Drosophila melanogaster: one gene and its partners. The gene in region 4 interacts genetically with the main gene of each other region. Each region holds a gene or a part of one and is shown on either strand. Other genes may lie near its edges. The genes, in order: Sbf, 14-3-3zeta, Pi3K68D and mtm.

The links.
Region 1: of mtm (region 4) and Sbf, changing one suppresses a phenotype caused by changing the other (phenotypic suppression), as found in Drosophila melanogaster (one study listed by BioGRID).
Region 2: of mtm (region 4) and 14-3-3zeta, changing one suppresses a phenotype caused by changing the other (phenotypic suppression), as found in Drosophila melanogaster (one study listed by BioGRID).
Region 3: of mtm (region 4) and Pi3K68D, changing one suppresses a phenotype caused by changing the other (phenotypic suppression), as found in Drosophila melanogaster (3 studies listed by BioGRID).

Annotation. Positions count from the first base shown.
Region 1 is NT_033777.3:11,792,963-11,800,651, forward strand, and holds the start of Sbf (SET domain binding factor), read right to left. Parts: upstream 3,987-7,689; 5' UTR 3,882-3,986; intron 3,533-3,881; 5' UTR 3,474-3,532; coding exon 3,419-3,473; intron 3,348-3,418; coding exon 3,244-3,347; intron 3,175-3,243; coding exon 2,854-3,174; intron 2,795-2,853; coding exon 759-2,794; intron 693-758; coding exon 1-692. Other genes in the region: ClC-a (chloride channel-a), read right to left, coding at 4,480-4,785, 4,844-5,077, 5,156-5,185, 5,312-5,581, 5,767-5,802, 5,891-5,935, 6,029-7,126, 7,179-7,413 and 2 more.
Region 2 is NT_033778.4:10,097,788-10,105,832, forward strand, and holds the start of 14-3-3zeta (14-3-3zeta), read left to right. Parts: upstream 1-1,889; 5' UTR 1,890-1,951; exon of another isoform or gene 1,952-2,063; intron 2,064-3,248; exon of another isoform or gene 3,249-3,390; intron 3,391-5,334; exon of another isoform or gene 5,335-5,354; intron 5,355-6,327; exon of another isoform or gene 6,328-6,396; intron 6,397-6,468; 5' UTR 6,469-6,560; coding exon 6,561-6,622; intron 6,623-6,929; coding exon 6,930-7,043; intron 7,044-7,153; coding exon 7,154-7,280; intron 7,281-7,914; coding exon 7,915-8,038; intron 8,039-8,045. Other genes in the region: Jra (Jun-related antigen), read left to right, coding at 1-349; RpLP0-like (ribosomal protein LP0-like), read right to left, coding at 804-1,298, 1,359-1,606, 1,672-1,699. UniProt on the Drosophila melanogaster protein: Required in Raf-dependent cell proliferation and photoreceptor differentiation during eye development. Acts upstream of Raf and downstream of Ras, and is essential for viability.
Region 3 is NT_037436.4:11,784,842-11,792,954, forward strand, and holds the start of Pi3K68D (phosphatidylinositol 3-kinase 68D), read right to left. Parts: upstream 5,173-8,113; 5' UTR 5,081-5,172; exon of another isoform or gene 4,780-5,080; 5' UTR 4,700-4,779; intron 3,405-4,699; 5' UTR 3,372-3,404; coding exon 2,338-3,371; intron 2,270-2,337; coding exon 2,217-2,269; intron 1,799-2,216; coding exon of another isoform or gene 1,785-1,798; exon of another isoform or gene 1,211-1,784; intron 275-1,210; coding exon 1-274. Other genes in the region: twy (twitchy), read right to left, coding at 5,437-6,892, 6,958-8,113.
Region 4 is NT_033779.5:6,033,115-6,041,007, forward strand, and holds mtm (myotubularin), read right to left. Parts: upstream 3,902-7,893; 5' UTR 3,698-3,901; coding exon 2,164-3,697; intron 2,109-2,163; coding exon 1,783-2,108; 3' UTR 1,617-1,782; downstream 1-1,616. Other genes in the region: CG9109 (uncharacterized protein), read right to left, coding at 208-475, 625-761, 817-1,209; CG9117 (uncharacterized protein), read right to left, coding at 4,015-4,701; CG31643 (uncharacterized protein), read left to right, coding at 5,089-6,829, 6,894-7,173, 7,225-7,499, 7,555-7,750, 7,810-7,893.

The DNA of each region.
Region 1 (7,689 bases), on a different chromosome or scaffold from region 4:
GGAGCATGGTGCCGTATGATTGAAACGCGAAGTACTCAAACTCATCAAACGGATGCCGCGCTTTGCTCAATATCTTTCTAAAGCTCTCAATCTGCTCGGGAGTTACTTCAGGATCAAAAGCGACCTTGATCAGTTGAAAGCTACTGGAACGCAGCTGCAGTCCTTCTGTCAGCGTTTGATCCAGATGAGCCAGGTACAGCACCGATATCTTTTTCTCCTTTAGCAGGGAGGCAATCGGAAAAGTGCGAACAATCACCTGCTCACAGAAGAGGGGATCGCAAGGTGAACCCTTAAAAATCACACGGTAGTTGGTGAGGAAAAGAGCTCCCTCGGCGGGTATCAGGCACTGGGTTTCATCTTCGCGTCCATCCGGCATAAGGAAGCAACGCAGGTGGTCTGTCACCAGGTCCTCCCCTGGCAGCAGGCATGGCGTTTGAATTTTGGGCTTCTGCACGTGCGGATGACGCTTAGCCTCCAGATATACCGGTTCCAGGGACTCGATGTGCATATGCACAACTCCCGGTACCATGTCATGCAAATTGCGTATATGCTCGGAGGTCACTCCACCTTCGGTACAAACGCAGTCAATGAAGCGTGAAATGGTTTTCCCAACCGTGACACCTATTTCCAAAGCATTGTTCTCCTCGAATCCTTCGTCGGAATGTTCGCTTAGGCTGTGTGAGCCCATAATACTGTAATTTAATAATTGAAATCATATATAAATATAAAATCAAAGTTAGAAACTTATCTCGTATTACCTATTGGAAACACTCTGATTTTCCTCTAGACGAAACGCCGGTTTCGGCTTACTGGCTGCATCCACATTGACATCCAGTGGAATTAGCAGGGAAACCATACGGTTCGCAAAGTGAATTGCCTGGCTGTACAAAGTTGACTCCTCCGATTTGGCCAGCTCGGCTTTTTTCTCCTCCTCGATGTTGGGACTTTTGCGCAGCTGCTCGGCTGTAATTTCAAGCGCCGTGGGCTCCTCTAGAGGAACTTCGTCCAGCACACAGTTGGCCTCCTTTTGATGCTCGTTCTGACGTCGGTGAAGCAGATACAACGCCTTTATTTGACCTTGGACATCCTGAAAGAAAGTAGACTCCCAAAATTGCAGGTTTTTCCAGATGGCGTGATCCTGTATCTCTGTGTACGCAAATTGCACTACTCCAGTCGAGAGCTTACGGCAGAAGATTGTGGACATGGGCAGCAGAGCCGCAGCCACTGTGTACTCATCAATGCCGGATGATTTTTGCAGCGCCTTGTTCATGAATCGCACAACTAATTCAAACTGTTGATGGTCCAGAACTGCCTTGTTGCCGTGCACATATCCAAAGAACTCGCGGCACAAGATCAAGCGCGCATCCCGATGCATTAGGGTGCGCATCACAGCCGGCAGCAGTTTTCTGGCATCTGTAATTCGATTCTCAAAGATGTATGACACACAGATCCGCAGCACCTCCAGTCGCCTAGCCGAGTTTTGGACATTGGGACGCACATCTAATGCCTCGGGTAACCTGGGTCCCATCGGAATGATACGGTGCTGATTACGTGTTACATGAAAGCGTTGTGGCACTCCGTTCTTTCGTATCCCTTCCTGTATGATAAGCTCAACCTTTTCCGAACTTATGCGCGGAAAGGCTGGTTGATGAATACGCTGGAATGCGCCTTCCGGCGGACGCAGTACTTTTTGGGCATAGCTGATGTGAGCCAGAGTGCCCTCATTTTCATATAGAACTCGTCCCAATTCCTGGATATGTGTGAGTATCTGAAAGTAGGAAGGAAAGGTAAAATTAAAATATCCCTTGAATCTTTGAGTTCTACCTACGAGATTTCGATTCTGCGCCTCCGATTTGAGCAGTTCGTTCATTGAGCTGTAGAGCTCATCCCAGGCATCGGAGGATCGCCAGGGAGGGCCTCGTTCGTTGACAAACGTCGTGAAAAACATGCTGTCCAGCACCCTAAACAGGAATTCGCTCTCTATCAGATCGCGGGCGCCGAGAAATCCTGCCTTATGGAAGGTGATCACCGGCTTTGGGTGGATCCGAATGATAGTCAGGCAGGAGCGATATCCCTGCAGCAGCTGAGCGAAAAGGCGCATGAATATGGCGCGAAGTTCCTTATCAATCTGGGCGTCAGTCTTAGCAATAGCTGAAGGCCGCTCTAATGTGGGAAACGCCAGATCGGCCTGCGCCAGGTTTGGAAACAGGATCATGCTGAGCAGGTCCTGGGTCTGTTCCCACAGCGGTGATGGAAGAATAGGAACAGGCGGCGTCAGCGACTCGGGAATGGTAACGAGGCCGCCATCCAAATCCACCACAATAACATCCAGTAAATCCGTAATCTCAGTTTGCAGTGAGCTATGTATGCCCATAATAAATGGCGTAGGTGTGGATAACACTTCCGTGAGTGGAGCCGGCAGAATTGGTATATAAACATGAGTATACCGAAAGGGATACATCAATGCCACCAAAGCTCTGCAGCTGTCCGTCAGGTGCCAATAACACTTAGAAAGAAACAGTATCTTGTTCTCTGTCATCACGGAGCAAAGCAGTATCAGCACATTCTTGATGCCCAGCTGCTTGAAGAGGAAGTGGACTCCACTTCCAGTCGTGGGCAGGGAGGAGCTCTGCGGAGGCTGGAGCGACTGCTTGTCTCCTGCTCCTATAGAGAAGCGCACCTGCGGTCCACCCGCTGGAGGAACTTGGATGCAGCCCAGAATGTTTCCTATGAGTGTCTCCAATCCATACGCCAGGTTCTCAATGTACACCGTGTATATGGTGCCGAGACAATTCTGTAAATTAAGATAATGGCTTAATTTAGTATCTTAGGTGGTCTGACTTTTAAACTCACTTTAAAGGTCTCGGCACAGTCCAAACGCGATATAAGCACCAGACACTTTGGTGCATACATGACGCTGTGGTGCGTAATGGAAGCCGGCGTGGATGTCGTTGTGATGCCATCCATCGATGAGGGTGTGGCTCCCAGCAGCCTGCTGCTGCCGATGGTCTCATCCTCGTCGTCGACGCTGCGCGTCTGTGTGATGGCCACCGTCTCATGAAAGCTGAGGCAGGCGCAGTAGTGCTTGTTGGCATCGATGTCCGTCAGCACAGAGACGAAGAACTTGGGCTCCTGCTTCTCGTACGATAAACTCCAGCCGAGCGGCTGGCAGAACTGTCGGAATGATAAGTTAAAATTCAGATATGCTTCGAATTAAGTGAGGAATGTTTCAAGCGCACCCACCCATTCAATGCCCTCGATAAACGGAGTGTCCGGCCAATCTTTCTCGGGAAAGCGCTGAACGATCTTGCCGCACGTCGGCTGGCCGCCCACATTGCTGGCAGTTTCTGGGAAAAGGGAAATTGTTGAATGTCAGAGAATTGCTAATTATGGCTGATGGGCATGTGGATGTACTCACTCTCCTTATCACTGTCGTAGCCGACTATTACGAAGTAATCAGCGAGCCGGGACATCTTGCCCACCACATAGCCGGCCAGTCGTCTAGGATCCTACGGCTCTTTACTAGCCAAATCTAGGAGAACAAAGAGTTGAAGATGTTTTATTTTGATTTTTTTTTTGTTTTTGTTCTGTTGCGTTCTTGTAGCAGGGGACAGCGGCAGATGGATTCTATTCGCCAGTGCCGTCATCCAATTTGATATGCTAATTAGGCTCCGTCTCTGCGCTCGGCATAAATGATTAGCTCCACGGAGATCGAGGGGCCGAATTGTTATTGTATTGTCTATAGCGCCCGGAGGCGTTTTTCAGGCTTTACGAGTCTTGGTCTTCACTCTTTTTTCTTTAACCACACCCCGCCACGCAAAGTGGGATCGTTCGCCGGGAATCGGACTGGCCAATCTATATATATATATCCGCGCACACACCTCGCAGCCGGCTGCAGCCGAAATCCCCGCTAACTGCCAGCAAATCTCAAAGAATTCGGGGCTATAATAATTATTTTTAAGTTCGCATAGAAAAAGATAGATGCAATACACAATAATTTTCACGAATTATCCAACACTTTCTGCATCAGCTGATTGAATGTGTCGATATTTGATTGGCGCTTTGAATGTATCGATAGTTTCGGACTGCGCTACAAATTAATCGGCGCGAACTTAAAAGATCAATTGGAAAATGGCAAAATTAATTTCCACTTAGCCTTAAATATTCATTAAACAATTTTGGGGAAATTATAATATAATTAATCTGTTGGAAAAATAGGAAACTTGTATACTACATTAATACTCCCCAGTATATAAATAAAAATCAAACGCAGCCTTCGTTGGTGACTTGATTTTCTTTTCAACTTAAATATAAATCACGATATTTTTCACATTATGAACTAACGAGATATAAATACATAATAACATTGATGACTAACTCGTGTAAGACGTAACTTAAGATAGATGTGTTTAGCTGATCTTTACAAACATATTACGTATACGTATCGTATTAACTATTATGATGGCCGATCATCTTGTTTCAAGCATGATTTCCGTTTTCTGTGTTACTTTTGTCCGCCGATGGACTTTGCTTAGATTCCTGTGGCGGCATGGTGAGCGATACAGTGCCCTTATCCGTGTGCTTTATGTGCTCCATTTCAATGTCCGAACAGTTCTCGGAATTGGATAGTGCCGAGTCCATGGAGGTGACGGTCATGTCCACGGCCTTATCACTAGAGTTCGTCGACAGCAGAGGTTTCTCCACCGCCGGCTTCTCATCCGCATCCTCATCCCGTGTGGGGGGCACGAAACTATTGCTATTAATGTCCTCGATGGCTTTTCGCAACTGTTTAATAAAACATGTGTTATTGTTATAATCATCAAGGATATCAAACAAGACTTACTTCTTTGAGTCCCACGACACCAACAAGTCTTCCGATTTTGGTGACATAGGCGTGGTTAATACCCACCATGGAAAACAACGAGTGAACCTTGAGTATGGAGGTGCGTTCCACCAGCTGAAATGGCGAGGGATCGATGTGGACATTGGCCTTCTGCAAATCGATGGGCTTCAACATTTCCTCGAGCTCCCATTGCTTCTGATCCTCCGGTGACATGTCAATAACACGTTCCCTGGGCTGTAAATCAATCAAATCGGTAGATATTATATCTTGATTGAAATAAGGGGTTATGTAATTAAAATATTCTAAACGTACCAATCGCACCGACTTCGGCTTTTGAATGCTCTTATTTGGGATTTACAAGATAGGAGAGAAAATGTGTATGTTAACTTTGAGAGTTAATGATTCATAATGCGTTGTAAGCTCGTTGACAATAGATATTAATCAAAAGTTTGCATCAGTTTTACATACCTCAGCCAGCGATTCTGGATTTGTTGTTTCATCCACATCCTCTATAGAGTAACCCAATACATTTTCTGGTTTTATTTTACATTTCGTTCGAGTGGGCGAACCATTTACTCCAACTTCGTTAGCAAACCTTATTTTCGAGCACCTCTTGGCCGTCTGAGGAGATCTATTTACATCTGCCACTTTATTTGCTTTGAATTTAATGCTCGGTGATTGCTTTGAACTATCTCCATTATTTGATAATGCTTTATCCGTGAAATCTTTCTCGGCAGGCTTTTTAAACATTAATCTTGAGATTACAAAATTATGTATAGATAGATATTTTAAACTGGCAATACTCTACTTCAATCTTCCACTGAAATTATTAAGTATTTCTTCTACTTCAAAAAGGCCCATAGTACTACTTCATGCGTGGATACTACCCTTATTTTATAATTTTACTTCGTTTTAAGGCTTACCATTTTATTTGATTCCGTTGAAATAGGGTTTACTTGCTTGCAGATATTAAAGTAAGTTAAACACACATATTCCGAGAAAATGAATGAAATGATATGATATGAATGTTGTTAGTGAGTAACTTACCAGCATAATTTGATCTGTTACAAAATCCCAATTACTTTGTGCAGGCTTGAAAAGAGAGATTTCCTCTTCCGGTTTACTCAGCAACTTAGATAACCCAAAACCCAATTTTTATGCGGTAAATAGAAAATATGCACCTACCAGCTGAACCTTTTTGGAAACACCGGGAGTGCTAGGAGTTCGCGGCACCTCCACCTCGTGGTTGCTTGCCGCCGGGGAGAGGGAACCCGTTTCCGGATCCGGCTGTACGTCCTGGAGCGTGGTGGACTTCTTAAATATGGCCTCGAAGGCTGAGCGAATGCGGAACTCGGAATTGCCGGTGATCGTGGTGTAGGGCGTGATGCTGGGACTGTGCCCCATGGGCTGCGCGTAGGTCTTCAGGTTGAAGGAGTTGGTCTTCTTCAAAATGGACTTCCTGGGCGCCAGCGAACCGTGCATTGTCTCCGCCCTTTTCTTGGGCGGCAGCATTTCGTCGTTGGCAATCTGGCGTAAACTGAGAATATCCGGAGCTGGAAGGACCTCGAATCGAGATGGTCGCCGCATCTTGAGCTCCACTTCCTGTTTCTTCTTCTCCTCCTCGAGGGCTCTTTCCTGAGCCTCCTTCTGCCACTTCTGGGCCACCTCCATTCGCTTCTCGCGTCCAATGTGCTTCTCGATCATTTTGATCAGCTCGTACCGCTGCACGGAACCCAGCAGGATCATGTTGTCCGGGCTGTCCACCAGTGGCAAGGATCTCAGCGTCTTGTTCAGCTTGAGGACTTCTTTGAGCTTCTGATACGAGATGCCGTGCCATATGTACTTTACATCCCGCACCATAAAGTCCTCGACGAATATGCTGTACATCCCGGAACTGGAGGGCAGCAGATCCGGCAGGTAGGGCAGCTTCTTAATCAATATAATACTGTCGTATATCGACGGTTGGAGCAGCGCCGCCACGGCATTGGCCACCAGCACAGCAATCATGACGGGTACCACGTGCGTAATCTGACCAGTCATCTCGAAAATGATCACCGCCACAGACACCGTGTGGGTCACGGAGCCAGAAAAGGCGGCCGCTCCGACGACGGCATAGCCTCCGGGCATGATGGGCGAGAGACGACCGCCATACCGGACGCCGTGGGGAAATGTCACCGCCATGAACTCGCCCACCAGACGACCAAAGCCAGCACCGATCTTGAAAACCGGAATGAACATGCCCGACGGAACTGGTATCGTGGATGCGATAATGGAGACCACAAACTGCAAAAAGGAAGATCAGCATCTGCAAAGGAATTCAACTGCAATCCTATACCGTAAAGAGGGTGTAGATGACAAGGTTGCCAAAGACGCTGGTGTAACTGGTCATCCAGTGGGTCACTACAGCCGCCTGCTCCACAGTAAGATCATCTCGTGACCACGTGAAATTGCTAAAAAGCTGTGTCACCTGCTCGTGGGTACTTAGTTCGCCGGCCAGGAACTGACCCGTGCCCAGTGGAAACGAGATGCTGGACACCAGCAGAGCCAGGAATCCCGGATACAAAAAGCGACTGAAAGATAGATACATATGTGAATTAAAGTATTGATACATTTTGAGAGCTTGGAAACTTACTTTTTCTGCAGGAACTTGTTCATCCGCTTGTTGGATCTCATGAAGAGGACATATCGCCGATGGACCCACACATATGATGCGCCACCCAAGCCGCACACAAGTCTAAAAAGGAAACATTAGTTATACTATATAACTGAACAGATCACCCACGTACCCAATCAAAGCAAAGACGAACAGCTCCTGAGGATCGAAGGGAAACTCGGTGGTGAAGTTC
Region 2 (8,045 bases), on a different chromosome or scaffold from region 4:
AGGCACCTTCACCTACACCAACATGACCGAGGGCTTCTCGGTGATTAAGGACGAGCCCGTCAATCAAGCCAGCTCGCCCACCGTTAATCCCATTGACATGGAAGCGCAGGAGAAGATCAAGCTGGAGCGCAAGAGGCAGCGTAACCGTGTGGCTGCATCCAAGTGCCGCAAGCGCAAGTTGGAGCGCATCTCAAAGCTGGAGGATCGCGTGAAGGTACTTAAGGGCGAGAACGTCGACCTGGCTAGCATCGTGAAGAACCTCAAGGACCATGTGGCGCAGCTGAAGCAGCAGGTGATGGAGCACATTGCCGCGGGCTGCACGGTGCCGCCGAACTCGACAGACCAATAACATTTGGAGTTGTCAGCCGGGGAGAATGATGAGGAGGACGTGGCACTGGAGACTGAAACCCCCTCGAATCCTGAAGATCCCGAGCAACCCATGCCTCTGGAATTCTTTTCAAGTGCTAGCACCGGTGCCTTGGAGCTGGAGGGCTCGGCCTCTCAGGATATTTCCCTAACTAACAGCGAACTCCTGGAGGAGGAGAGCGATAACGAACAGCCTCTGGTGCTCTACATCCTCGCGGACGACGCAACCTGAGGCTTTGTGCCTTTCTTTGGTTTTAGCTGCAATATCTGAAATGCTTCTTAAGTGTTTTGTTTACTTAGTTATTAGTATAAGCTAGTGTTAATCAAGTATTATCTGTGTTGAACGTAAGATAATATGTAATGTACTTTTAAAATATACGTATATTTTCTGCACTTGATATATACATAAAAAAATTATTTCTACGCCTTAAACTTATTTATTCATCATCCTCCTCTTCGTCATCATCGTCGTCGTTGTCATCCATGGCCTCGGCCTCGGCCTCCTCTTCCATTGCGCTATCAGCCTGTTCCTCGTCGTTCACATCATCCTCGACATGCAGCTGGAAGCCTTCGCTTTTTGTCCACGAGCACTTCATGGTCAGCCGAAATTTGGCCATGGGCTTGCCCACCAGCTTGAGGATTCTCGCCTGTTCGGGTGTTAGAACTTTGCCCTCCTCACAAACCGTGTAGTCACTGTACAGCGTAACGATTCCCTTCTCCAATTTGGTGGGCAGGCCCAGGGAACGCAGATGCGGTTCCATAGAGTGGGCGAAGTCCTCTAGGGGACCTGCTGGCAGGGTAACCGTTTCCGTGGCCACAAAGCCACTGCGTGCGTATTCCACGGCCCAGTAGTTTTCTGCCCACTCCAGGACTTCCTCCTTGGATTTGTCCGTGAAAAGCAGTCCCACCTGGCCAGTTAATCGCTTGGATAGCTAATAGACATAGCCTGTGATTAGTGTCTGATATATGTTAATCCACTTAAACTTAATTACCTTGTGCAATTCCGGCTCCACTTCCTCGCTCTTCGTGCGACCCAAGCCAATCTGCATAACACGATTCTTGCCAAAGATAAAACGAGAATTCTTTTTCAACTCCTGTCGCAGATCCTTCAGCAAGCTATTCCTCATGTTCTGAACTTGGAAAACGAATATATTTGGGTATTTGCCCACGCAGAACCGAATGTCGTCCACAATGCGCTGTTTCCAAGCCAGACCCTTGCGGTCGGTTTTGGTCAGGGAAACTAAGGGAAGAAGAGTATCGCACGTTATAAGTACAAATCGTATATATTAAAGCCGAAACTCTCACCTTTCTTATCACGTTTGGAGCGCGGCATATCTGTAGCCTTTAAATAGCAACGTTTTCTTAACAGAAACCAAGAATATTTCCCACCGAACGTAAACACGTGCGGCCTTCTAGAGATGGTAAATGTTCCTAACCAACAATCGATAGCTCTATCGTGTATCGGAATTTCGCACCGTGCGGGTTGGAAAATTCCTGCGGGCCAATCCCTACTTCAGCTTTCCTCGTTTTCCAACACATCTGCGCGTAGAGAAGAAGAAGAACCTTCACGTCCGAGCCGTAAGAGGTGAATTAACTAATTAATAAGTGCTTGCTCGTTTAAAACTAAGTTAAAAGTCGTGTGCTGAGAGCCCAAGGATTACGCATATATTCGATATTCGCTTGAAAACCCAGGCGCAGTAAGTAGTTTCACCTAGTGCGTCGTGTGTCGGCTTGCGACCGCCATATTGTCGGCGGATAAAATTTTCCCCGAATAAGTGCGCCCACGCACTTTATCGATTCCGTTGGCCTCCTAATTGGATGCCACCTGCCCCTTGGGCTCTCCGCATTTGATTGCGTGCGGTACTGGCCTTGCGAAAATCCCATTACAATTGGAAATGGACGTAGCAATTTTTCATTACCGCAACCAAATAGGACGCCGATGACGTAATTTTTTCCGTCTTGTTCTTTGTGAGCTGTAGTAAAATGTAGAGATGAGCGCGTGAGCATGTCTTCGCCACGCACGAGTTGAATTGCAATACACTTACACGATTATTTAGAAAATTCCTCGTACACCTAATTACCGTTTTTTTTTTTTAATGACTTGAACATTATGCTTAATGTAATACAAAAACATCATAGAATATTAAATATATTTTCTTATTGTATAATTAACAATAGAAGAAGACTCAAAAGAATATACTCTAATTTTGTCGAATTATCCCATATTGACAGGACTAAGTATAATTAGAACTAGAAATTGATTGTTAAATCCTCGCCTTAACTTCCGGCCCACAATCGTAGGCCCTGCCTCACCTCACGAAAATCATAAGTACGTGGATATCTCGTTTTTATGTGTGAGTGCACCAATTCAATGAAATCCAAATTAGAATTAAGGCAATTTACCGCCACCCCCTTATCAATGGCATACATCTCCCGATTAGTTTCCTCCTTGCGGAGGCCATAAAGTCAAGATAAAAGCGTAATCTGGCAGCGAGATAAGCGCTCGAAAGTTTCAACAGGTTGGAAACGAACTATAAACTATTACTTCATAAAACGATGATAACACAAAGACTTGACAATAAAAGCTGGCTCATTTTAAAGCTCTCTATCTACAAGTTCTGAGACGCCTATTAATTAGTATATTTTATCTGAAAGTTTGGTTTCCAAGTTTTACCTGCACACCTGGCAACATTAATTTATACAGCAGGTTGGCAACCCTGAAACTCTCTCACTTGTCGCACTTTCTCGCTCTCGCCTGAGCCAGCCCCATATGCTCCCTCTCATTCTGCGGCGGCGCATGTGCCCCTGCTAGAGTGTGCGTGGGGAGAGAGCGCAGAAACACAGATACAGCGGCGCGGCGAATGTGTGCAACCTTTGCCGTCCGTCATTCTCATTCGTTCGTTGGTAGTGTTCGTTGTCGTTTCAGTTTCAGTTAATCGAGAATGTAAGTAACATTTTTGCTGGCCCAGAGTGCCTTGTACCTATGTGTGTGCGCCTGCCAGTGTGTGTATGGAATTATAAAACGTAAAATTGCTAAAATATCCGAAGAAAAAACACGTGTAATGCCGCCTATGAGCAATCACTTACATGCATCTATACTTCGTCCCGCAGAAAAATCGAAATACATAAATCAGACATCGATCCGAAGCCAAAAAAAAAAAATCTACGCAAAAGAATAAAGTGTAAATTTGTGCAAAATAAGGAAAAGAAAAGAAAATGAAAGAAAAGAACATTCCCGAGTTGCCCGAGTATTGGTGCATGTATGTGATGCGGTGAGATTCGCTTGTAGCTTCGTATTTCTCATCATCATCAGCAGTTCATCGGTTAAGTTGTAGGCGGCGGACATAGCCGACTTCTATATTTACGCTTATATAGCCAGCTATATGTACACACAGTACGCCAAGATAGATATATATATATATATATCCAAGTTGATACTTGGATGGGGACACGCGGTTAGGTGGGTTTCCTCGCCAAACTCAACACACTTGGCGGCCGCCTGTGGTAGATACATTTCGGCCTCTCTCTGCGGCGTTCTCCGCTCTCTCCCTCCCTCCCACCTCGCTCCTCCTTTCTCCCGATTATTTTTATAATTTTGTAGCGCCGCACTTGGAAACACGATTGGCGGCCCCACCAACACCATCTCACCCATCCGCACCACCATTACCACCACCACCCAGAACGCACCGACACACGCAGAGTCGCACGCACACAGCCCCAATAAAAGTTAGTAACTTTTTCGCCCCATGTAGAGCCGCAGTAGCGGTATCTACAGTGTAGAGGAATTTCTACATCATCGGGGATTGGGTTCTTGCTCGGCTCGGTCTCGGGGGGTTTGGGGGGGGGGGGGGGGTTCTTGAGCTACTGCGCATGCTGTCGGCCGGCGCAGATAAGGTTTAAAGTACCAAGTATCCATCCGACACGGATTTCGCAGGATTTTCTAGCCCCGAAATTAGCCTGACCATATGGGTGTTAAACCGTCCTCTAAGGTCTACGTATCTATAACTTCGAGATACCCACCTCCCACCTGTTTTTCCCCCTATTTACCAATTTATTCATTCAGGCAGATGAGCAATCTGCGTGGTTGAAACAAGTTTTTCCTCCTTTGATTTATCCGATAAAAACTACAAACATATTTGTGACCATTTAGGGGAGTGTTACGTTAATTTACGTTACGCCTGGCTTAATGTTTTGGCATTTACCGAGCACAGGCAGAAAACATGCCAATTGACCTAAAAACGCGTCGGGAGACCGCACCGCACCCTCCCCCTTCCATATTTTTGCTACGCCACGCCCCGCCGCCCTTTTTGTTTTGACAAAGGGTCAATGCTTTTTCAATTTGGCGGTCGGTCGCAACACAAATAATAGCTGTTTTCATATGGTTTAAACTTCAATTGGTTGGTTTTTAGGCAACTGCGCAGAAATCAGCATTTATAATTGCTTCTGCCAATGTTACTGGGTCTTTGAAACTAGTTGTTAGCTTCAGTAAAGAACATTTGTATGGGGTTTCAAACATTTTGGAGACTATTTTTCACCTAACCATTTCAATGTAGCAACTATTCAGCGGTCGCTGCTAGCCAAGCTGGACTGTAAATCCAATTGAACGCGGTATTTGTGGGATTGTTGCTGGTGCTTTTATGATGCCGATGTGTTGAGATTTTCCATTTCAATCATCGGCTGGCTGCATTAGCTGGCATTCTTGCTTGGTTTTCGAGGTTTCCGTTGCGCGGGCAAACAAAACAATTTTTTTTTTTTTTGTCCAGAGCCGCCAGTTGTCTAAAAATACCAGCAACGCCCATACATATGCATTTCCACAGACCGATTTTCACCCCTCGTCCTACGCAGTTCTTGTTTCCAAGCTTTCTCCAGGTCGAGCGGAAATTAATCGATTTTCCTTTCCCACGTCCCTTTGAAAATTCAAGCCGGAAATTGGTCCTACATTGAAAGTTTGGATGATCCTATCGCAAGGAATTATAATTGGATTACGTGTGAGCGGATTAATGATTGTCGCCTGCTTTCCCGTGTTTTTATTTGGATTTTTTTTTTCTGTTTGTTTTCTAATAATTACTGCACGTTTAATCGATAGAAGTTCAGCGAGTGGGCAAGTAATTGAGTGCGTCACTGTGCGGAGAACACAAACAGACGGTCTCTATGCACGTACATAAATATCTATCTTTGGCACACACACAAAAATATATAAAAACGCATTAAGGCGGGCCGACTTGTGCTCCATTTCTCCCTCTCTCTTTTTATTCATGGTTTATTTTTATCGCTGTTGTCGAACTTGTATTTTTTCACATCTATCTGCCAGATACTCTCTTTCCACCTTCGGCCTTCCACAAACCCATAAACTGGGCTTCGAATAGTTGCATAGTTGCCACACGTGCGGCCATGTCCAGTGCCACATTGTTTTTGTCGCTGGCTTTTTCCCATTTAAATTAGCCATTCCGTCAGCGATTAGTCAATAAAGACCTGCTGCGAATGCATGAGTCATCGCAGCTTTGAATCCAACACTTTCGTCCAGCGGAAGCATGACAACAAACTAAATTCGTACGACCTTCCTAGGAATACTCGCGCAAGTGCATTGCGGGTATATTGGACTTGTCTGAGTGACTCAGATAATATTATTAGTCACTCAAGTTCTTTAATTTATAAGGAAAAATCATTTTATAACTTTGTAGTCAAGCAAAACATCTTTTAAATTACTTTTAGAGCTAACGAATATAAAATATAGAATCGCGGCCTTCAATTAATTTAAAAGCATAAGCATCTATCGAACCAAAAACATGGAATATCTTATAATGTCTATTATCCCCTATAAGGGGTGATCGTATATGGCAGTTGAGTTCACTCCACAGAACATACAGTGCCACACAAAAATTCGCAGTGTTGTGCAACTGCTGGTTGCTGTGGAATTTTAGCTAAATATAACAGACAAGTAATCCGCAACAGAACTCTGTTAGTCAGTCAGGTGTTTGTTAAGAGCTCACAGCCGAGAACCGTTAGGCGAGAACGAGATAACGGGTTAAAGTGGCCTCACCTACATTTCTCCTCCACTGAAAAACACACTAATGCTCCTGTTTACGTTCTAATTTATTGCAGAAAGCCATTGTTAGCAACTTTTGAGGGGCATATCGAACTGTGTGGCGTATTTTATTAGTTTTGTGAAGTAACCGAAAAAAAAATCAAACAAAATGTCGACAGTCGATAAGGAAGAGCTGGTCCAGAAGGCTAAACTGGCCGAGCAGTCAGAACGGTAAGTGGTTCATCTTATAATAAAGTTCATCAACCTCACAGAACTTCAAAAGAACCCTACAAACTCATTTGGCAAAAGTTATAGTTGCACATAATATTTATTAATACGTAAAAAAGACATTCTTGGAAGTTATAAGAACTCTAAGATTTAACATTGTTTTCTGTTTTATTAAATCCATTTAAAATCATCTTCTAATGAACAATATATGTATCATTTAAGTTGTTCTTCAAAATTTAAAGAATGCATATATTTCTGTGATCTACATGACTAAATATTTTCAATCACTAATGGAACATTTTCTATGCAGTTACGATGATATGGCCCAGGCCATGAAGTCCGTCACAGAGACTGGCGTTGAGCTCTCAAATGAGGAAAGAAATCTGCTCTCCGTTGCCTACAAAAATGTGGTCGGTGCCCGCAGGTGAGTCAATCAATCACAGATTGATTAATGTCGCACTATAGATTGGAGTTCAAGTGCTAAGCTGTATGTTTCTGCCCCTTCTCCGGGTGTGTTTAACATGTCCAAACCAGGTCATCGTGGCGTGTCATCTCCTCCATTGAGCAGAAAACCGAAGCATCCGCTAGAAAACAGCAGCTCGCCCGTGAGTACAGAGAGCGTGTGGAGAAGGAGCTGAGGGAAATCTGCTACGAAGTTTTGGTAAGTGGTGGTCCGCAAGTCTGCGCAAGTCTCTTTCTGAAGGATTTATGGGGTTGTAATTGGTCCATCTAATTATTTTCATGCCCACAACTCACTTGGTTGTTCATCTGCATTGACGGTGATGAAGATGGCAAACCTGTCAACCGCCTAAATATATATATATATATATATATGTATAAAGACCTCCGCCCTTGGCAAGCTCAGCTGTCCGAGGGTGTTGGTTGGATGGTTCAGTGGGTTTTCCAGAGGGTGGGCCTGTTTTCTGGTCTTCCTTCTTGCTCTAGTGAAATATAAAAATTTGTTACAATCAATAAATCTATTTTTAAAATGAACATGTTCCATTTTCCCCCACACACAGAGGTTTTCGCTTGTGTGTATATGAAATTTATATTGCCGTTCACGGATCAGAAAATGACCATGGCCAGGGTTGAACTCGGGGGTTTCCCCATTCGCTTTTCTTTGATTGGGGCTTTTATATTGGATTAAACTTAACTGGTGCTTGATGGATTTTAAAATGGAAAATGATTTAGAACAAGGTTTACAATAAGCCTGGCGGCTTACTTGGTTAATTGTTGCGTTTGGTTTTCGAAATTGATATGAAATTAATTGGAGTACTTGTTTCCTTTGCTTACAGGGACTTCTGGACAAATACCTTATTCCAAAAGCCAGCAATCCCGAGAGCAAGGTGTTTTACCTGAAGATGAAGGGTGATTACTACAGGTATTTAGCCGAGGTTGCCACAGGAGATGCACGCAACAGTAAGTA
Region 3 (8,113 bases), on a different chromosome or scaffold from region 4:
GAGATAGTTCCAGATCCGTTCTCCGCAAGCTTCAGACTCTCCTCTGGCGGCGCAACACCATATTGCGATGAAGATGTAGATGGCTGGCTCAGAAAATCTTGGCGCCAACCGATTAGACCAACATTCGGACTCACGGTGGCCACAGTTTTGTCCCACCTGTTGACTGCCTCATACATTGGATCGGAATATTGGGTTGCTGCATCTCCGCTGTACAGAAAATCAAAGGGATCGTATTCCGCATAGTAGGAAGTGCTGTCGGAGGCGGTGTCGTTGCCTGCAAGTAGTGAGTGCATGATCAGTTCCGGGTTAAATCCAGTTCACACCGCGAATATCGCCAGTAGTTATGCAAATATGCTCGAGAGCCGAGGCCTACTACTGCGAGAATCCGGGCACATCACATCGTGTGGCCAAAAATAAATGAGACGGCCCCTAAAGTCGCAGCAGTGCGATGTGGATCGGTTGGACTAGCACCACTGGCAATGCGAGAACGCTTCGCAAATCTACGCTAACAAATCCGAGGCGAGTGCCATCGCTAAAAGCTAATTGTGATTGCTGTCATTCGTCGCCCACGCTGACCCAGTACAGTGGAACCAATATCATTCGAAATTTTTTTAAAAATAAGGTCGTATATATCAAAAGTACAAAGGGTTTATGTTTAAAAAAAAGCGCAAAATGTAGTTTTTGCGGATGATAATGGTTTCCTATATTAAAATGAATATCAAATTCTTAAAAAGAAGAGCGTATGTACTAACAATGTATAATCACTGTACCTAAGTGTGTATTTTTAAATCGCTTTGTTTATATTCATTCTAAATCTGTCCCCTCTGGTGCCCATACATCTGTTTCATTTGCCACAAAAGGGAAAGCTATTTGCTAAACACGTCGTTATTTTAAAAGCGTTTGGTAAATACATCTGTTTGAAATGCATTGCTACTTTGGCGGGAACTTTGAAAGCCAGCAAAACAAAAAGGGTAAGCGTACAAGTAATTTGACAAAAGTGCAACGACTTGAATGCAAATCATAGTAAAGAGTTAGTTGATTTTCCAATCTAGCCAGAATGAAATAAATAAATACATACATATGCTCGAAAAGCTTCAAATCTATTGTCAATTATTAGTTAGAGAAGCGTGAATGTGCGTTATTTAATCTTTTAATGGGAAATGGAAGCAAGCGGCTAAACGAATAATAAAACAACAACAGACTGCAATTTGTTTAAGAAATTATTTATTTGTTCTCTCACAATGGTACACGATAGAATTAAACATATGTATGTATTTATTTTTGTATATAAGTGTATTAATGGATATATGTAGCAGCAAATCACAATTTGTTCATTTCGTAATACATGGTTATTAAAAAGAAGTGACTAATTCTTCTCATTTCATCACTTTTCAATTGACAGTCGTTAAATTCTTTTAAATTTTGAAGTTTTCAGTCGCGGGAATATACATAGAAACCAATTCCAAACATTGCGAACTAGTTGAATACGACATTTTGGACATCGATATATAAGCTGACTTCAAAATTATTCCGGCAATAGCGGAAGGCACGAATTTCGATATGAGGGCACATACATATATGTATATATATTACTTTAGTATTTTTGTGTAATAAGGTGGTCTAAGTAAGTGCTGTTATAGACACTAATCTGTCATTGCCTCCGAAACGAACCAATCTGAACCGAAACCCTTTAGATGGTGTAGTTGTTGTGGGTGTAAAGTAGTTGCTTTTTTGCATTTTTGGTAGTAGTAGTACTGATAGTAGTAGAGGACAATTAAAATGGATTACTTTTTCGACACTGCAATATAGAGAAACGGAAACATTCAGTTTAATTCTTAACTAAAGGCGAGCGACAACTTGCTACGGGCAATTCTAAAAAGGATCTCGTATATCTAGCCAAACTAATTGTTGCTAAACAAATAATGGGATAAATATAAAATTAATAAAACCTATTAGTAAATACCATACAAATACAAAATCGTGTGCTTGTTCCTATTCAATTTAATATTCCTCTCTCCTAGAGATTGAGTTGAAAAATCCACTAATGTTATTATGCCAATAATTTTTATTTGCAGCTCAAATGAATGCTCTGGCCAAAAATCGCAACACACGAGTTTTCGACTGTATTTCAAGTTTAGTTTACGGTGCGAAAAATGTGGGGGGATTTCAACGAGGACCGGGAGCTACACGTTAATTACAACATTGAGGCTGCTTACCAGTATTGTCGTTTAGCAGGGGATCGAATGCCTCCAGCACACTCACACGGGAGCTGCAAAGCAGGATGTTTGAATGTTAAAAACACGAACTAATCATTTCTGAACACTAGTGGATACATACTAGTCCTCGTGGTTGAGGTCGATCAAATCGTTGCCCCTGCGTGGGACCGAGGAATGACCATTGTTTCCAGTGTGGCTACTAGAGCTAACCCCGACAGTCGAGGGCACTTGGCGACGCGCTGGGAAGGCTACTCCATTGGCCTCTGCGGGGGAGGAAGTGGAATGGTTGGACGGTTGGCTGTGATGATGACTTGTTGTCGGTGCTGTTTGTTGGGGAGCTGGTTGCGATTGGGGTCGACGCAAATCCATGTGCGTGTAAGCACCTCCAAAGCCATATCCCTGTGCGGGATACTGCGGCGGCATAAAAGCAGCCGATCCGGGAACAATGGGAGCCGTGTATGGAGTAACCACAGCTCCGGGATAGTACATATAGGCGTTTGGCTGCGGCACTGGAACCACGGCCATTTGAGCGGGCATGCTGTACAGCCGCTGCAGCTCCTCGCTGTTTAGTGGCCTCTGTTGCTGAGCAGCTGGTTGGTAAGGCACCAACTGCAGGTCACCGTAAGCCGGTCCACCAACAACTCCACCTGCAACCATGCCGTACGGTGTGGGCTGAGCAGCCGTTGGACGTTGCTGATGAGGTGGAAAGCCGTATTGAGGAGGAATCGAAGCCGACGCAACTGGACCCATTGGCACCAGGGCCGACTGCGGATTGGTCGGCTGCATCCGCTGCAGATCCTCTATAAGTTTGCCAAAGGGACTGCTACTCTCTGGCTGCTTGCTGGTGGGACTTGCGAAGCAGATCAGATCGTTATCCGTTCCCTGGGCCGGCGGTGTGCGCGATCGTTCCGCATTCTCCGGACTGATGGCCACCTGATGCACCTCCGAGTGCCGTCGTGGTTGATGTAGGCTCTGACTACGTTGCGCCGCCTGGTAATCTCGGCCAGCAACGGTGGAGCTTTGCTGATACCCGGAGCCGTACTTCTTGTTTCGCCTGTAGTCATCGAGGGCATGCTGCTCTAGACTCAGGGCGGTCGCCTTGGCCAGGTCATCCTGGAATTGTTTGTCGTAGTCGATATGCGCTTGATTTGACATTATCCCCTCGTCTAAAGCGTCCGGTCCGTTGAGCTGCGAATGGGAACCAGAACAAAATGTGAGCGATTTCCAAATTTTGTTAAAATTATTTTCGTATTTTCTCTTCCAATGCCTATTTGTTGTTGAACAAAGGTGTTTGCTTTTGGGATTGCTTATCTCTGCGATAACGAACAGGCGGTGATAAAAGTGATTATGCAGTGTAAATGGCAATGGTACTATATGAGTACCTGGACGAAGAACAGGTGAGATAGCATTCGATGGGGGGAAGACCACTTGCGACAGAGTGGGGGTGCCTATCACTAGTTTTTTTTTTTTAAGTTGCAAAGGAATATTCGCGATCGATAATGAGCCGTCATTAGCGGGCACCAATGATTCAGAAATTCAGAAAATAGGGGAGAACAGATTGATCGCTTTATTAGATTTGTAAGCTTCGAAATGGTTAAAAGGATATGACAACTGCATTTAAAACGTAATTACAAGGATTTGTGATAGCCAGGGCAGGGACAGGAATTAATTTTATATTTTAAAAAATATCAACTTCTAATAGAAAAGTTCGAACATCATTATGCAAGCATGATATTAAGTATGATTAGCAGAGTTTCGACATTCGGTACAAACATCAGCAAAACATTTTATCTTATTGTTTGTACATACAAATGTGGTAAATACTTGTGTACTTTGCACATAGAAACCATATCCAAGCGCTCCAAATTTGCGATTGCGATACAGCAGAGTGGCGCAAAAAGGCGCAATTGAGTGCGCGATTGTAAATAAATATATAAAAACAAACAAAAGCGGCGGCATCAATTTGCGTGAATGAATGCTGCGAGTACTGATTTCCCAGATTTTACACATATATACGAATATATGCAATATAAACGTATATATATATGTCAGCATGTAAGCGTTTTGATTTTTTCCCCATTGAAGCCAATCTCGTATGCAGATAGGAAACAGCTGTTTAATATAAACACACCCACAAAAGCACTAGTGTGTGTGTGAGTCCGTGTCGCGAACGGGGACGGAATGGAAGATAAGAAAATGCGAACCGGCTAGGAATAGGAAGCGAGGAAGAGAGAGCAAAAGAGAGGGTTCCGTGCGGCAAAGGTTAAGGTAAATCAATAGATTGCGAAAAAATTTTTAAAAACAATATTCATAAACAATAAATGAACCCAATTGAATGCCAATTTATTCCGGAGAACGTAAGAATAAAATTTAAAAAAAACGAATATCGGTGGAAGGGCGAAAGAAAATAATAATGGAGATAGTCATTAATATGCAGACTTGACTTCTGCTTTGTGATTCTCATCCGCATATTGCCAACTTACTTGCTTTTTGAGGTGTCACCTCCGCTGCTTTTTACACCCGTTGCTAGTCTCTTTTTGGTTGAGGTTTTCCCTTGACGGGGCTACGAACATAGACCATCCGGTTAATAGTTTTACACTTTTATCCTCGGTTGTTGTTATATTTGACGAATCACAATTAATTTAAACTTAACCAAAGGTTTTTTTTTTGTTTTTAGGAGAGTTGTTTTATCCTCCTACACACCTAAACACCTACACACATACATGCGAAACGACCATACACAAACACGAACAGAAAACAGTGACAAAAAACGGAATAGACGCAACACCAAAATACTGAACAAAACGTTATTTTCTTAGATTTTCTTGCACCATCACATATTATGTACAAATCAGTTAATTTACAATAAAAAAAAAACAATTATCTTGTGCGCAAGAACTTTAAACACGAACAGCACGAAATAACACAAAACGGAATGCAACAAGCAGTAGCGATGGTAAACGAATCGATATTGTTTGGCAACTATCGATGAAAGATACATCGAACAGATGTTTGAGTATTGGCTAATCATGTAGCCGGGTTTCACTCCATCAATTCAAATTTATTGAGTTTCTAACGAATAACAAAATACTTAACTTTCGAGCGATATGTAATCTTGTATCTTCATAGTTTGTTTATAAAACTTATACTAATTGCCAAGTAATACATTTATTTATCTCAGTTGTTATTATTTGTGCTTCCACAAATTTTTCCACAATATCTACATAAATGCTTCGTCCACATTCAGGCCGTGATCCATGGCCACCTTGGAGTCGTCGTCCAGCCCACCAGCTAACGTCAATAGATAGTCGGGATCATCGATTGAACTACTGGGGGGCGCATTGTACATCCTGCGGTAGGAGGCTTCGATGTTTTCGTCCAGCATTCGATCCACAATGTCACTCTGGACCTGTCCCGGTTCCTGGGACATTTTAAGCAGCAGCTCCGCATGACTGGGTGTCACTTGAGGCAGTTGAAGATCGGTGGCTGCTGTGGGATTTACATTTGCCCTTCGCTGGGCGATTTCCGCCGATTCCGCACCCATTTTGCAGATTGCACACCTGCTGCGAGAAATCTGCTTCTTCAGATTGACCAAAGCCATACGATCCTGCGCCACCAGCATTCGTTCGTGGGCCAGCTGTGCCTCCTTTTCCGCGATTTCCTGGGCCCGCTTGGCCATGACCTTAAGCTTGGCCTGGAGCAGCTGGTCCGCCTCCCTAGCCTTCTGCTCGGCCAAGTGTTGGCGACTAGTGGCTAGGCGGTAGGCGCCGGTGGCTTGGCCCAGTTCGTCCTCCTTGAGATTTAGGGCGTGCTCCTTATCCAGAAGATGGCGCTTGCGCTGCTCCATTTCGCGCTGCAGCTTGTGGTAGCGATCCCGCTCCTCATCCGCCCGCCGAATGGCTTCGCGTGCCACCTGCAGTTGGGCCTCCAGTTCCCGGCGATCTCTGTCTGGGTCGCCGTGCTCATTGAGCTGTTGTCTTAGTTCAATCTGCTGGCGTTCCACTGTCAGTTGATTGCGCTCCTCCTGGAGATCGTGGTGCAGTCGTTCCATTTCCGCAAGCTGCAGTGCTTTAAGATCCTCCACACGCTTCTCGTCCCGCTGCATTTGCTCGCGATGGAATTCTTTTTCGCGCTCGAAAGCCTTGCGCTCCGCTTCCAAGCTGGACATTCGTTGACGGAGCTGCCAGTTCTCTTCGGCTGACTCCTTGGACAAACGGCCCAGCTGCAGCTCCAAGGTGCTCACCAGTTCCATCAGGCGGCGCTTCTCATCGTCGGCCGTCTCCTCGTCCATCTTTAGACGCCTTTCCTGGTCGGCCAGGCGACGTTCTCGCGCCTCCAACTGCCGTTCCCTTTCCTGGTTGTCACTCATCCCGTCACGAAGTTCTTGAAGATTGCTGGACGCCAGACGCAATGTGTCCAGATAATTTCCATGATCCTGCACCGCCGACAACTCCACCATTTTAGCCTGACGAATACCCTCGAGGTCCAGCTCGTGGGATTGACGCAGCTTGCGCACCTCATCCTCATGATCTTGTCGCAGGCTGGAAATCTGCTCCACATAGTCCTCCTTCTGCTTCTCCAGTTTTTCGATGTAGTACTGCCGTAACTCGCTATTCTCGTCCTTGAGTCGTTTCTCTACGACGGACAAGTGCTCCTCCAGCACCTTGATTTGTTTTCTGGACATAAAATTAAATTCTCTTACTCATTTGCATTATTATTTCAGCAGCTGGTTAAAACTTACTTATATGAAGAATCTATCATTTCGATCTCCTGCTCATAGTTGACCTTCATGTTGGCCACCAGCTCATCGAGTCGCTGTTTCTCCAGCAGATTGCGTTTGGCATCCATTTCTAGCAGAAGCAAATGCTCCTGTTCCTGACTGGTCGCCTTGTGGTGCTCCTTCCTTTCCGGTTCCGGTTCCGGTTTCTCCACGAGCGGCGGTGTGGACACCACATCCTGTACACGCACTGGCTGCGACATCATCAGCTGGAGGTGCATGTTGATCCGCTCCTGCTGGCCTTTTATATGCTCCTCCATTTGCTGCTGTCGCTGCAGCTGCTGTTGGATTAATGCCTGAAACTTTCGATCCTGATCCTCTTGGCGACGCTGCATCTCCAATAGAGTCCGCTCTTGACTCTTCATTTGGGCGGCAATCACCAATTGTGCCTCCTGCTGCTGCAGGGCATTGAATTTATGGTTACTCTCCAGGTTGAGATTGCTAAGCATGAGGATATTTTGGGTGGCGGCAGTGACGACGGATGGGGCGGGCACGGCGGCCATTTCCGCCTCCTGCTCCATACCGTTCTCATCGGAGTCGGGCAGGCGCAGGATGTCGGCTGTATTCTTGGAAGGACTTTCACTTGAGGGCTGCGCCTTGGCGGTCTGCGCTTTCGGTGTTATCGGTCGCTGATCCGGCTCCTGCTCCAGACCCAACCAATCCGCGGTAGTTCCCCGTTTTTTCGAAACGGGAGTGGACATTCCCGAAACAGTAGCATTCGTATCCCTGCCAAAAAGGCCCAACGGATCGGCATTCATATTAATGGTGGCCGATTGCGCTGAGCTTCTTCTGCCGGTAGAAGTCTTGGGCCTCGCCTGCGAGTTGTCCGTGGTGGTGTCCGTGGATTGGCGCGACATGGATGGTTTGCTAGTGGCCGGACGTTTGACGGCATCTCCCGCCAGAATCTCATCGAAAATGTTTTTCTTGGGCTCCGCGTTGCTGGTCAACAGATCATCGAAAAGGCTCCTTTTGGTGCCGCCACTCTTGGGTCGTTTGGGATCAAAACCCAAGTCATCGTCCTCGACCAGATCATCATCCAGTGAGATAGATGGCTTCTGCTTCACAATTCTCGGCGTGCTGATGGCATTGGGTGTCTTTCTGGCACCCGTTCCCTGTCCCT
Region 4 (7,893 bases):
GTTTGCTGTCCGTTTTTAGATAAGCATATCTCAAACACAGGTGTCTCAAAAAATAGTACTGAATAGTACAAACAGGTAAACTTAAAAACATTCATGCAAAATAACGAAATTTTGACATTTTTGCAAATACCTCATCTTAATCAAAAGCCCCTTAGCATGATATATGATTTTGCTGCAACAAGGCATGCCAGGCATAAATAAACTTACACAGCCATTTCTCCGCTGCCCCAAAGTCAGTGGCTCCTCCGGCTGCGCATGCAGCAGACAAGGCAGTTTCCTGTTTGGCACGGACGTGGGTGTGGAACATATGTAGCTGGCACTTTTCAGCAGGATTCCTCCGGAAATCGGGGTGCTAATATGCGGGTCGGGCGATACATTGTCGAAAATAAAGCGAGCCAGCTCGTGAGAGGCATCAATGGAGAAATCGCTGTGAACGGTGATGTTTTGGCCACTAGGAGCAACCAGATCCGCCAACCTGGTAACAAGTGATTCATTCAAGAATGTAAAACAATGTTCGAGTTACCAATTGTCGAGACACATTTCAAATACTTAAATCAACTTATCCCTTCTTTCTCAATGCATTTGTAATAACTTACTTTCATATGCCATTTAAAAAGGACTTACCTTCGCAACAGAGCACCAGTGAAAACGACTCCGGCACTGAGCATGGGATATGGAAACCGCTGGGGATCCTTGTAGTTCGAGAAGTGGTGGATGATGGTTGCCTCCGCATCGTAAAGGGCGTGCCCATAGAAAGCTAGCTGGAGGAGGCACAAGGATATAGGACACAGTTGTGGCCTCCAGTGACAAACTCACCTCCCTTGGGTTCTGGCGACGCAGTTGCTCGAGCAGGCCGCGCAACGAAGACACACGCGTGTTGTGTTGACACCATATAATCCATTCCGTGCGCGCACCCAGCACACGTGCCTGGGCTCTTAGATGAGGCAGTGCGTCCAGCATGGTCCAGGAGTTAAAGAGCTCATGCATCACATGGACCTTCAGGACAAAGTCCTCGGGGAAGATCCCCGCCAGTTCCAGTGCCCGTTGCTGCTCCAGCACGTTGTGCGATAAGGCTAAACAATCACTTCTGGCCTGCTGAGGATGCGGGGGACAGGCGATAACCAGGAGCACCTCTCCTGGCTTGTTACTACCGCAGCATAAGCTTGCGAGGCACAGAAGCCCAAACAGCACACATATCCTAGTAGGCATAACTAATATCTATTGCGGAACTCTAAGAGTTCCGAACGCATTTCCTGATATTTTACAAACACCTGCCCTTTTCCTACCGGAAATCGGAACACGTCTGTCCCAATGAACGTGCGATGTCGTACTGAGGCAGCTGTGATTTAATTTTGGCGCAAAGCCGAAATGTTTTGTGTCCTGTGGTGTCAAAAGTGGGATTCGGGATTTAACGTGCGTAGTCCAACGCGCAGGCGCCTCTATGAAGCGGTGTTTATGAATGAATCACAAGGAGCGTGCAACAGTTGGTCACCTGTTTAGGTATCTTTTTGACATCCAAACTAGTTTAAGGCACATATAAAAGTAGCTCCACTGAGCTGCGAAAACGCTATACGATTTGAACTATATGATGTTATTCATGAAATAATTAAAACATTCTCAGACATTTAACACTTTAATTAGATTCGATAATGTGGTTCAATGATACAATGTTGAATCGACTAGTTTTCCATTTAAGAAAAACTTTTATTTGGAATTAGAACGTAGTTCACAATACGTGCACTACATATGCGTACAAGTAGGGGGAATAAAAAAGCAATACTATTAGTGCATAGGCGAGGCCAGTCGCGTAGTTGTCTGCATGCTGTTGCTGCGGTTGTTCGACTTGAGCCGCAGCTCGTTGACGAGCTTAAAGAGCTGGTCCTGCTTGGATAGCAGTTCGCGGGTTCGCTGGCAGCCATGCTGAGGAGCGCACAGACCAGGATTCCAGCGACAGTATAGGCCCTTCCACAAGCGGACCGATCTCACGCTGGCAATCGGACGCAGCACTAGCTCGGCGCCGTGCGTGAACGAGGGAAAGAGTGGATTCAAATACTGGTCCAGCGACGAGTTGATGTGCGTCCACAGGGATGTTGTCTTGTGCTTGAGATCTACAATAAATGTGAAAATTACTTCCAAGCCCATGCAAACAGCAATCAGTCTAACCTTCGGCCACACGCTCGGCCTCCGTGTTGCAGAGGAAGGTGCCGAAGCGGCACGAGTACAGATGATCCACGATGGTTATCAGGAAGTGCTCGTTGAACTCAAATGCGTTGTTGAACTGCTGGCTAACCTGCCAGACGCTATCGATAAATTGCAGGAACACCGGAGATCTGTCTGCATCCGAGTGCTTGTTGTCGCCGTGACCAATGCGTTGTTGGAACTTGTGGCCAAAGGAGAGCCACTCCTTCTCAATGAGAACCTCGAAACCGCGCACTGTGCGATAGTGCGGATCGAGCAGCAACATGGAAAGAGCAGTCAGCTGGGCTGTGCGATCCCAGCCGTCGGAGCAGTGAACTACGACGGAGGTGCTCATGGTCTCCACCTTGTCAACAATCCTAACGGCGCCGGCCAGGATGCACCTAATGTGCTTTAGCCACAGTGTGTTGTCAATAGCCGTCTGCCACTTTGAGTCGTCGGTGGTGGGGAAGCAAGCCTCCTTCACTTTGCGTAGGCTCTCCCGCATCACGTGGATGTTGTGTATGTCGAGGAAGTTGATTTCCACGTTCTTGTACGCGTCCTCTGACTCGTAGCCGCCGCCCTTGGCCTTGTTAGCAATCGCATTGGCGCTTGGTCGCGCATCCATGATGGTCAACTTGTCTGACTGGGCGTTCGCCTCCATGATAAAGCTTAGGTATGCTTCATCGTCGGAATTTCGCTTGCCACTTACACCCACCAGCGGCTGGGAACACCTTGTAATGGTCGCTTGAGTCCGTGGGTTCATCCAGGACAAAACCGGCAGGCGGCAGCGCGATCGGAACTGTGCCACGCGCCTCAGGAAATCATCGGAGGCCGCTTTGGGCACAGCCCACACGGCCGGATAGCTGTCGCAAATTGCGTAGGACTCGTTTAGCTTGGTCGCCCGCCACATATCGTTGGGAACGCCCAAGCGGCGCAGCTCCGCCAGCGGTTCATATACCGCCCAGCCGTCCCAGCCTCCGTTACCGTTCACAGAGTTGGCCGCGGCGTGGGCGAATGCAAAGAGGCGCCCACTGTACGAGAGCGGAAAGGCGTTGGCCTGCAGTTTCTCAAACACCGTCCTCCGCGAATGATTCTGCTGCTTGTGGGCGAATCGCAGGTTTCGCATGTCCTTGCAGAAAATCTCGATGCCGTACGAGTTCTCACCGCGAGACGTGGCACCTCCAATCTTCTCCACACGCGCGATCACGCCCAGAGGCACGTCGACGACGACGGGCGGCTCCTGATCCCGCAGGGGAAGCGACCGGAAGTACAGACGGTAGTTGGTTATGGTAAGAGCGCCGAAGACGGGGCCGCGGTACGGACACACGTAGGTCACGTCGTTCTTCTGGTCCTGGTCCTCTTCGCCCTCCAGATAGCCGAAGGGCGTGTCCCGCAGAATGCCGTTTTCTCCGCCACCGTGCTTGGAGCCCAGCGAACTGGACTTGGAGCTGCTGTCCAGAGAGTTGCTGCTGGCAGTCTTGGAGGCCAACTTGTCGGCCAGGCTCGCGGAGGGATCCATTTTCGGATGGACACGAGTGGTGTTTGGCTATTGTGTTGCTGGTTGCAGCTGTGTTTTCTTTTCCAATTGTTAGCTAAATGCAATTCACCAAAACTCATGCAGCAGTGCTGCCAACTCACGCAATATAAAATCATCTGGAATAATTTCCCATTCCTCCGACAAAAGTACCAAAGGGACATTATGTAGTGGCGGAAAATTTGATTTTTATGTATTGGAATTAATCAACTTATTTCAGACATTTAACTGGTAATCAAGGAAAGCTAGAACAATTCCGCTTTTAAAAAAATCTCTAACATATGTATTTAATGCTTAATAAATTAAGTGTTAGAAGTGGCGTCTTCTTTAAGTTTACAGCGCATTGATTGTGTGACAGAAAACATCGGACCATGTCCTGGGATTATAAACTCGCACAGTTGTGCCATTTTACTGCGCTCCTCGCGCTGCACCTTCTCGTTTTCGCTTCCAGCGTCCATCCAAATGTTCTCATCGTCGATGTCCTCGCGACGCTCGAAGAGATCTCCGGTGATACCGACCCGTCCACCCAGCTGGGAATTTTCCACAAGAACTGAAACGCAGCTGAGGGTGTGTCCTGGCGACCGCCTCACTACCACCTCGGCATTCGAATCTAGGGCCAGTTGCTCGTCTGGATTACCACTACCAAGGTGGTCCATGTAGAGGTCGTGATGTGAGGCACATGCGCCGACCAAATGCATTCGTGCCTTCTGAAACAGATAGTTGCAACCGATGTGGTCAGAGTGTCCGTGAGAGCAGACCACCACGTGGATGTCATCGACGCCTAGTCCCTGCTGGCCCAACAACGAACGCAGGTGATCTCCATCCCAGGCCGTCAGTGTGTCCACGATTATGTTGGTGCCATCCCGGCAGCGGACCAGTGTGCATGTGCAGTTAGCCCGCATGGCGGACTCGTCTCCTTCTTCTTGGCGAGAATAGCCGACCTGGAGCACGGTCACCTGGTTTCGTTGCGCAGGATCAGTGTATGCCATTGTTTAGTTGTTTAACAACGATAACGCTCTAGCCTATTAAATTATTTAGGGTCAGCTGCTTATCAGCTGTTGCTTACAAACAGAAATGTCAACTCGTCAACAACCTGTTGAAAACTAGAGTTGCCACTATGAAACTTTTGACGAAATAAACAAATTACTTACGAATTAAGTAATTACTTATCTAACTTGTATACCGCTAATCACAGTTCAGAAATTATTTTAAGTTTTTTTTTACACATTGATTCCATTATTGGTTTCAGTATAATGGAAATTAGGATTTCATGGCAACACCGACACCAGCTGATCGCCAAAAATTCACTCACATGTTTATACGGCGTAATTTTGTTATTATTCAACGATTTCTGAATAAGCGTGAGATAAAGTGGCATGTATCTGAACCACCTGCCGCGGACACAATGGAAGTACCTACAATACCTTCTGCGAGTGCGTCAGCTTCAGCTCCTGCGACGGCACGTTAACATTGGCGCAAAGCCGCCCATCCAAACAGCTGCCTTGCTGCCGGCATTGGGCCAAAAACTGAGGAAGCACTCGCAGCTGGTGAACGGAGATCTCCAAGACAAGTTTGGCGTGCCACGGGAACAGGATGCTCTTCTAACCCGACTGGAGGAGGCCAAGACGGGTAACCAGATTTTAGATGTGTTGGAGAGCTGTGACGGCCTGCAGAGCTCCCATGTGGTGATGGGAATCTCACTGCTGTGGAACATCTATCACGACGCGGAGCAGGCAAGTAAAGATGCCATCACGGATCGCGTGCTGCTTAACGTGCTCCCAAAGTTGGCCCCTTATGTACACCAACTGGAGATCGATGATCTCAGTAGATGCTACCTGTACCTGCGCAAAATGCATATACCAAACTCCGAGGCAGTCGTGGAGGCCGTGCTGACGAGATCTCTTCAATTAATCGAGTCACAAGTTGATGACGAAGTCATTCCCTTGACCTCCTTGTCTCGCCTCTCGGTGGGCATCAACTTGGAACGCGACTTCTTCACTCCGCTTGTGTGTAGGAACTTTATTCCGCACCTGGAACATCACATCAATTGGTGTCGCAGCGCAGAGCAGGTTCGCCTTCTGTCCACGTGCCTCTTTCAGCTACACTTTCTCATTGATGAGGAGCTGTTTACGCGCTTCAAGTTGCGCTTGACTGAAATGATGCAAAGCGGCGTCCTCAGCAGCGAAACCCCTAAGGCTCTTCTGAAGGTGATCCACATGCTGAATATTCCAGTGTGGTCGCAGACCCACACCCAATTGATTCGGGAGGTCATGCTGGTCTTGCGACCTTGCATACACCAGATGGAGTCTGCAGATCTAAAGAGCATTTGTCGCACATTTTTGCATCATCAAGAACCCGCCGCACTGATAGAGCCGCTCAAGAAAGCCCTTGAAAAGTTACTACAGGAAGAAGGCACTGCTGACGCCCTGTTTTGTGCAGTTCCCTTTGCAACGCCACTGCAGAGAGACCAGTATCTGCATCAGTTTAAGGAACTGCTCTACTCCGAAGAGGCCTGGCAGCAACCCAATGCGAGCGGACATTTATTCAGCGTTCTGCGTGCACTAAAAGTCTCCGACATTGAATTCTGCAACACATACTGGTCAGGAGTTGTAAAAGAGCTGGAGTCCTGTCCGGAAAAGCATTTGCACCTACGGTTCCTGAGACACTGTCAACGCTATATGAACTTTAATAACAATCTGGGAGGAACCTACCGTCACTTAGAACTGGAACGAAAGCTAAGTCGCATGTGCATGAATGCTATTGAGCATGACATAGCGGGAAGGCTGCCAGCGAAGTTCGCACGACTTGCATCCTTTGTGCTAGCTTACGGGCAGACTCCGTTGGCCTGGAAGAAATTTCCCAACTTTTTGTTAAGCAAAATGCTCGCAATGGCGCCCCAGCTTGGCATTCAGGATTGCTTTCTCCTCAGTCGCGGCATGCAAATAGCCAGCGAACTAAGGTTTCGCCAGCATCTTCCGGCATTAGCTGGCATGCAACTGTCCACAATGGACAGCATTCTCATCGGTTGTGCGGAGAGGCACTTGAGAGATGCCGAAAAGGACCCTCTAAATGCCAGCGAATTGAGCATGATTGTCAGAACACTCAGTCATCGCAAGAGTAAGTTGATAACTTTGGTTCATTTGAAATATAAACAAATTTAAACAATTTTATCCCTTTACAGAGCTAAAGAATACGGTGGTTTACAACCAGGCCCTGGCGCAGTACAAAAATCTGCACTGCAACGATCTCAATTCTCGGGTGGTTCGGGACATGGCCTACAACTTCAACGCTTCGAATTTCTTTGTTCCCGAGCTCCTGGAGTCCATGTTCGCCTACATTTCCGAACAGCATGATCACGTTTCCGGCGACACAGTGGAGAAAGTGTTGACCTGCTCGTATAATTTGGGCTACATGCCAGCGTCCGTGGAGGCTCTAAACCACGCCTCCGAAGTACTGCTAAGGTGGGCATAAACATTTCTTGAGGCAGATCTAAAATGTAATCTTTCCATCAGAGATTTTGACCAGATGAGCGGTTTATCGGTTGTCCAGGCTTGTCTAGCACTGTGCTTTTACAAATCAATACCAGAGCAGCTAATCAATCAAGTATTCTGCGTGAAATTCATTCAGCGAATCGAGGATGAGATACAAGTATGCTACTCAAAAGCAACGTATCCGGAGAGGGTCCTTAACCTGGTTATGCAACTGAATCGCACAGTATGCCTGGACTTTCCCGAGGCGAATGTGCCCTGGTTTCAACAAAACTACATCGAGGCGCAGATCAGCAAAAGTAACATATAACTACAATTCTGTATTAGGCGTTCTTTATCATATTATCTTTTTAGAATCCTTAATACCCAGTGAGTCCACAACAGAGGTGAAGCAGCTGCTGCATCAGCTTCTTCAAAATGACAAGCATTTCCGCTGCAACCACACTACACCCTACGGCTACCAAATAGACTTTGTGATACATTTCGATCGGGATAAAAATCCCATCCCAGCACCTCCCGTGGAGGCAACCATGTTGGATCGCATAACCAAGTAGGCACACAAATGGAAGTTACCTTATTCAGGTACTTCATTAATGACTCCAATTTCAGAGTGGCAATACTACTGCTCAAGCTCGACTCTTTTTGTGAAAACGATCTGACTGCATTGCGGGGTCCTGAATCTTTGAAGATGCG